Xenopus tropicalis: one gene and its partner. The protein of the gene in region 1 interacts with the protein of each later gene in a pairwise test. Links are inferred from orthologs where the notes say so. Each region holds a gene or a part of one and is shown on either strand. Other genes may lie near its edges.

What was found.
Region 2: the proteins of fhl2 (region 1) and id3 interact in binary tests that used the Homo sapiens proteins (3 or more experiments, as listed by UniProt). The link is inferred for Xenopus tropicalis from reciprocal best matches to the Homo sapiens genes FHL2 and ID3.

Annotation. Positions count from the first base shown.
Region 1 is NC_030678.2:111,695,929-111,699,302, forward strand, and holds part of fhl2 (four and a half LIM domains protein 2), read right to left. Parts: intron 1,190-3,374; coding exon 1,020-1,189; intron 471-1,019; coding exon 284-470; intron 1-283. UniProt on the Homo sapiens protein: May function as a molecular transmitter linking various signaling pathways to transcriptional regulation. Negatively regulates the transcriptional repressor E4F1 and may function in cell growth.
Region 2 is NC_030678.2:78,344,002-78,348,493, forward strand, and holds id3 (DNA-binding protein inhibitor ID-3), read right to left. Parts: upstream 2,964-4,492; 5' UTR 2,785-2,963; coding exon 2,482-2,784; intron 2,209-2,481; coding exon 2,155-2,208; 3' UTR 2,137-2,154; intron 1,640-2,136; 3' UTR 897-1,639; downstream 1-896. UniProt on the Homo sapiens protein: Transcriptional regulator (lacking a basic DNA binding domain) which negatively regulates the basic helix-loop-helix (bHLH) transcription factors by forming heterodimers and inhibiting their DNA binding and transcriptional activity.

The DNA of each region.
Region 1 (3,374 bases):
AGGATATTTATCAAAATGTGAGTTAAGAGCTTATTACATAAAAACTCATCCATGTTCTATTCATTCCTATGAGATTTTTAGAAGCGTATTTATCAAATGGTGAGTTCTAATTTTCACCCATTGATAAATAAGTTTTTAAAAAATCCCACTGGAATGAATAGAACGTTGGTGAGTTTATATGTATTAAGCTGTAAACTCACATTTTAATCATTCTGCCCCTAATTAGTAATTAGTGCTATTAGTAATTTAAAAGAGAACATAAACTATAGTCCAACACATGTACCACTTATAGGGTTGGTGCATCCAGCACATTTCTTGGCATACAGGTTGCAGAAGCAATTCAGACAGTAGGCAAATTCATCACGAGAGGTGAAGCGTTGACCAGATAGCGGTTTCTTGCATCCTGTACAAATAAAGCATTCCTTATGCCAAGGCTGATCTCGGTATGTAACACCTCCAGTAGTGATGGCCTATATGACAATAGAATTAAAAGAATCAGTCTCAAGTCTTTTCAGCAAAATCAATTCATCATCAAGAAAAGTACTAAATATCCAAAATGGTAGAAAGGAAATAATGGAGTTTAAAGCTGGTCATTAAGTCAGATCTGGATGGCCAATTGACTTGTTTTTTGTAGTGTACATCATGCACACTGCTTGAAATTCAAATACTGAAACTATAAAACTGTAAACTCTGCAATATAGGCCTTGTGCTGGCCATCAGTGTCTGCACTAAGTTAAATAATATTTATTGATATTAATACTTAATAATAATAATAATAATAATAATAATATTTTATCATTATTATATCTTGTTTGCGTATAAGTAAATTTTTCACTCGTTAGCTTTGTCATTCTTGGAAAAGCACTTATTTCAGTAGAAAGACAATGGGGGCGTTGAAGTTTGTATTTGCTGTACTTACAATCAGGCTTTATTTCACAGGCTTTAAACACTATTGTGTTTTCTTGTGTATTATACATATACATTTTTTGGTTCTATAATAATTATGACATTTCCAGTACCTTCTTGCACTGGACGCAGTGCATTGCAAATTGTTTTTCATAGCATGCCACACAGAAATTCTGATTATCCTTTGGAATGAAGCTTTTTGTCCCTATGGGTTGTTGGCAACGGGAGCAAATAAAGCAGGTCTCATGCCAGCTGTTACCTTTATACTCCATCTTGCGAGTTCCTGTAACAGAGGTTGCACAGTTAGAGTCCAGGGAAACTCTTTCCGTAATTTGGATCTCCTACCTTAAGTCTGCTAATAAAATAATTTAAACAGTAATTAAACCCAATAGCATTATTTTGGCTCCAATGGGGATTAATTATAACTTAGTTGCAATCAAGTACAAGGTTCTGTTTTATTATTACAGAGAAAAAGGAAATCATTTTTAAAAATGTGAATTATTTGATTAAAATGGAGTCTATGGGAGACGGCCCTTCTGTAATTCAGAACTTTCTGGATAATGGGTTTCCGGATAAGGGGTCCGATACCTGTACTATATAAATACTGCTCCAAAATCATTACAAAGTAATTTGTTTTTCATTCACTTTTTGTAATGAAAAAAAAAGAACAAGATGTGGTTAAAAAATACAAGATTTTGCACATTTACAAATGATCCATTCAATGTTATATAAAGAGCAGGCAATTACACCCACAATAAGAACAATTGCTAACATTACTTTTGTCTGCCTTGTAATGGAAGTTGAAGTATCAAAGCTGAGACTCCATGGTTGCCCTCCAAATTTTTTAAAGTAAATTTGAAAAAATAGTGGGCCATGGCTTAACTTACTAGTTATTATTGCCCAGCACATGTCTGAACTATTCTTATATAGCTACAAGTTTAATCCATTGCTACAGCCCCACACTACCACCAGCAGGGTAGCAATCAGGGGGGACAGGGGGACTGTTCTTCTGGGGCCAATGACAGCGCAGAGCAGGGGCATGAACTTAGGGCAAACTTCACCCCCAATAAACCTACTGTTAATTAGTATATTAATTAATGGAACTCTATATGAACTGCTTATTACAGAGTAACATCAGCTGTTTATATTACACACACAAGATTTTGGTCCCGCACACTTGTGTTCATGGGGGGCCCATATAAATAACTTGTATAGGGCCCAAAACTTTCTGATGGCAGCCCTGACCACCACTGATGCTCTTCTCTTTTGAAACATAAATAAAAATCTGTAATAGAATACCTGGGCAAATTAGTCAAGGCAAATGGGCAGAAATACAAATAAAGGGTCAAAGGAAAACCAATAAAGAGAGAAATTAAAATCCTCTTCTCTAAGGTAATAGTTCCCCTGTTGCACTGAATGCTGTAGGTAGGGGGATCAACCTGAAGATCTGGGTAGCTTGATTTGGTATCCTTAATCCATTTACTGTGTGGTGGACACTTTTTTGCTGCCTCTAGATACTCTTGTAACTACTACTGATCTGCTGATACAATGCTGTATAAAATATCTGTGACGTTGTTATATTCAAAGGGAAGGACCACAAGAAATGTGGGACACCACAAGATCATTACTGATCCTGGGAACATTCCACTTGCACCCCAGCACTCCAGTCTGGCATTGTCTTTAATGCAAAATGTGTACATTGTACTGAATTACATGATATATGGTATGTTGTATTAGCAGAAGCCTATGAGTATAAATAGCTTCAGGAAATGCAGTTTTACCTCTAAATTGCCTGAAAAGTAGACAGAATGATACTAAGTTGTAAATAGCATGGCGTGTGATCATAATTATTCTCCTAAATTAGAACAAATGAGGAACAGAATTTTACAGGAAGATCCCCATCACAGCGCTGTGACACCAGCTGGCTGCTACTGCAGGCTTCCCATTGAATTTTAATTATAAAAAGGGATATTTATAATAGGTGCTTAAGGACTGCAGACTAAAACCTATGTCTGAACTGATTTTTGAGGCACATGCTATGTAATTGGCTTCCTTGTTATAAATCAGTTCCCCAGGATTTTTCCTACTCAAATAAAAAAGTAAATAAAATCCAATCCACTACATATACAGTAACCCAGCAGGTCTGTACCAGACATACTACAGCCTAGGCATTGGTGGTCAAGTTAAATTAGAAACATGTGAAACTGCACATTTTGCACATTCCATGTGCAAAGTCTTTCCCTCTTTTTCCACCCAGAGGAATAGCAGATTCTAACCTGGCAGAAATAGAAATGGAGTGTACAGGATGTAACGGTAAAGACCTTAGGAACTAATGGGTTACCCTCCCAAATGCTCCATCTGGATGAAAAATATATTTATCCCTTTCCCGTCGTAATCATTTAATTGCATCTCCCTTTCTGTTCATGCAGTGCCTCTGCTCAGTGTACAGAGCAGCCATTTCTAGAAAT
Region 2 (4,492 bases), about 33 Mb from region 1:
GCTACATTTGGGCTAAATCACACCAATTAGTGGTAGTATTCATAGCAATTTACAGTTATCCTTCTGTGAGTTTTTGGGCAGTGATAACACTTGCTGGGGCTGCAACCTCCTTATGGAGATGGGCCCTTTACTCATATGCACTGTATAAGTGCAAGTCTGTAATTGAATATAGGTCAATGAGGATGAATGGAGAAATAGTTCTGTAACAGTTAAATTGCACAGGATGGCTATCTCAGGCTATGGTTTGATCCCAGGGGCACTATACATAATTCTGCCAATTAATGCCACAAAATATTGGCCATTTAAGTGCCAAAATATGGTGGGCAGCGAATTACTTTTTATTACTGCAAGCTGATAATTTAGGGCTAACTGTATGTACAGGTATACCAATTACACTACATTATGGTCAGTTCTAATGTTTCCAAGACTACTGTGTTCATTTAATAGGAAAACATATTCAAGGCAAGCAGTTGTATTCCCATGTTATATTTCTGTTTTCCCCACAACATACACAGTATACATGTAAACCCACCAACATATAGTATATTTGTTGATGAACAAACTTGGGGCAGATCTAATATTGGCTACACAAACACTGAATGCAACCCAACAAGACCAAGTACTGTAACTAGTATCCACCTGGCTTTTGGAAGGTTGCTCATCATTACCCAACAAACCAATATCATTTAAGCTATTCATTGAAATCGGGGGTGACTTTCAATCCCCATATTTTACACTAGGAGTACTTTTTAGTTTTAGGATGTCAAGCAACACAAATCACCAAAAACCAAATACAACTAATGGCATCACTAAGCCCCATTTGTAAGGATTTATTTTACAGACTATTCTTAACTAATGTAACACCCAGTCTAAAAATAACAAATCAATAATATTTCTTTTAAAAATAATGTAATTTTATTTACACATAAACAAAAATAACAACTTTTATAAAAAGTTTTGTGTGTTTTTTCTTCAATCAGAAACTGTGCAGTTCCAACTCAGTCTTCTCTACTTTAGAGAGTGGGATATTCTGGGGTCAGAGCCACAGATTAAGGCTTTCACGTTCGAACATAGCTAGATACATGAAAGGCTATTTTATACAAAAATATATATACAGCTCTTATTAACAAAGAGTAAAAACAAGGGTTAAACAGAAAGCGGAATATTTTCAGTCATGGATATTTAACTAGGACTTTAGAAATATAGAAAATGGCTAAAAATGGAATTGTTTGGAGTTATTTTTGGTCCCTAGAAGGAATGTCACCATTACAGTAAGTTACAGTTGCCTGTTACATTAAGGCATCGGCTTAGCAATAATTAAGCCTTTAAAAATTCATGGAAATAAAAGTCTTTAAGATATTTGCTAGCAAACACTGGAATCAATGTTGGAGGTCTCAGAGGAATTTCATTAAAATGATTCCCAGTGAAATTAAATGGAATTAGTAAATTATATCTCGTCCATAAAATTGTTGTGTTTTTTTCTTGTTTAAAGTGAAGGATGAAAGTTCAAAGTGATGATCAGAAATGATGAGATGCTGTAGGTCTGTCTGGGTCCCAAAGGGTTAAATAGTCTTGCAATCTGAATTCTTCTGCTTCATGGAAATGGGAGGATTTATTCCTCTCTCAGAGTTTCCCACACCTGCAGAGAAAGAAATGTGCATGTATATTAATGGCAGTAAGAGGAGGGAGGGGGAGCAGACTGCCTGGCGCCTGGGAGGAAATCAACCCTGCCTGTGGGCCTGATAACATCTTTCAACTGCTAATTGAGAGTGTGAGAGAAACCAAAGAGTCACTAGCTGAGCACCACACATAACAACAGGCTCCCTTATACCAACTACAACTCCCAGCATTCTGTCTGAAGTATAGAAATGGGTTTTAAAGCAGACGGGAGTGACAAGTAACTTTATAATTTGCAAATATGGCTTCATACTAAAAAGTCTTCTTTAGTTTTTGTTTTTATAAACAAAGTTCATAATAGCATAATTTACTTATAAATAATAAATGTCTCTGATAACTCACAGTGTATTTATGTGCCATACATACAAGTTAGATCACAGATGAAGGGACAGGGCAGTGGAACTTTAAATGCAGTGGTACTTAATACTAGTCTATCAGACAGCAGAGACTGATACTTACCAGAGAGGTTAGAAGAGGTCAGTGGCAGACACTGGCGTCCCCTTGTGTTGCCAATTCTGAGAAATCAGATTTCTGTAAATTGAAAACAAAAAGTGATTTAGAAACTTGCTACCAACCTGCTTACAGCACATATCATTCAGAGAGACAGTCACATTTAGTCTGGATGGGACACTAGAGACTTGTAGGAATATTACACCAACTATGGTTGGGATCTGCATGGAACCAACATGGGAATTGATGAACAAGGAGAACTAGGGGACAACAGGCTGGTCATACTGGCAACACTACTTTTACAGCTAAAGGGGAGAACAGGTGCATAAGGTGATATGGAGAAAAGGTACATACCTGCAAGTTAAGGATGCTGTTTTGTTGCTGATCTTCCCCCAGGACTATCTGCAGGTCAAAGATGTAGTCGATGACATGCTGCAGAATCTCAACTTGGCTGAGCTTGCTTCCTTGGGGGATCCCTGGCACCAACTCTTTTAGTTTGGAGTAGCAGCCGTTCATATCGTACAGAAGTCCCATGGGCTCATCCACACCTGGTCCCTTATGGCTGCTGCCCCTGGCAATGCTTAGACTCTGCTCAGACAAGCAACAGACAGCCTGGTAGCAGCTTGACATGGACCTCACTGGGCTGATGGCTTTCATGGTGGCGTCAGAGATGGTTGCTAAAGTTTTAAGAGGTGGATCGAGATCAAATCTCTGGATGTTTTCGATTCCTGTAGGCTTCACAAAACAGCGTTCAAGAAAATTCTTCTGGATCTTGGGGATTCGGAGTTCTGCTATCACGTTTGTAATAGAAAGCAAACCTTGAGCTTGGTTGTCGTCCTTAATCCACAGCTGCGTGTGTAAATGTCAAACCGTCTTCCCTGTGGCTCTTTTATAGTCACACTCACCCCCCCTCCTCCCCCATGCAAATGAGACCTCCCTCTGCCTCCCTCCCCCCGCCCTCCTCTGCTTCATAATATTGTCATAACAGCTGGTTGGACACTTTCAAACAGCTTCTCCTAAGGGCTGGGGACTGTGTCATTAATGCCACGGGGGAGGGGGGAGCTCCTTTACACAACTTTCTATGAGCGCCCACTCACCGTTTCAGTGGGAAATCATTATATATAGCGATACACATTGATCCGAACGTTATTCAATAAACACTTGATATAATGTTTTTCTGAATTAGCGAGAAAATGGTCTATGCCACGTAAACGCGAGGGTTAAATCCATTACCATTGTATTTTATAATATATTTGTGTGTGTACAAAATGAAACGTTATTTTATAATAAATGGAGTAAAATTAGCCAGCGATGTTTATGTTCGCGGGTAAATCATTTCTCCCCCCCCCCAGAGAAGCAGCTCCCAAATGGAACCAATGAGCCCTTTGCTCTTTATCTGTTTATCCTATGTACAGAGTGCGGAGGCTTTTCTTCTTTGCCTTCTTTGTACGGGCTGTTTTCTTAAGTGTAAAAGCCATTATTCTGTATCTTTTCTCTGCCCTCTCCCCCCTCCCCTGCTGTATGACCTCCAGACTTTCTGGCGTCAGGATTATTATCCTGTGACCAGAAAAGGAACAGGCTGGGAACTGAATGAGCAAAACAGACAGAATGGACTGGCTATAGATTTCTATTCAAGGCTTTTATAGAGAGAAAACGTTTATAGATAATTGCACATACCGACACATTTGCACACTTACATTCCCACACATATAGTTACACATATCTACACCCTAAACAAGGCACAGTCTGTATATAAACTCTTATACACATAGAAATCATTTTAGGGTTTACAGTATTGTTATTACAATAAAATGTATCTATAGTTAGGAAGTTATTCAGCACTAAATAGTAATATTGCATTTATTTATATAGCACCCCAAATGTACATAGTGCTTTACAAGGCATAAACACAAACAGGGGTACTGTTATTATAAATGAGAGTGAAAATAAATACTTAAGTGTAGGGAGTTTTAATAGAAAGTTGGAATGGAGGTCTCTGTCCCAAAGAGCTTACAATCTATTATAGTGTAATATTCAGAAGTCTTAAATTTAATGTACAATCTTGTTACTTAATGAAACTGTAGGTTCTGTGAATGCTGTTCTCAAAGCCATAAGTCAAGGGGACTACCTGTTAACATACCCCTTGCCTATGCCCATTCTCCCCAACACTGTGTTGCATTCTGCCCAAGTAAGTAGCTTGAAACAATAGCAATTAGTTAGGGCCACAACAGGTGACTCGGTTTCCAATGTGGCCCTGGCCTAAGTATAGTGCAATGAGCAACTGTAGTTAAAGTAGCCATAACTTTTTTTTTAACACAGGAACATCAAATGACTGTACCACAACATAACACTTTATTGGGATGGG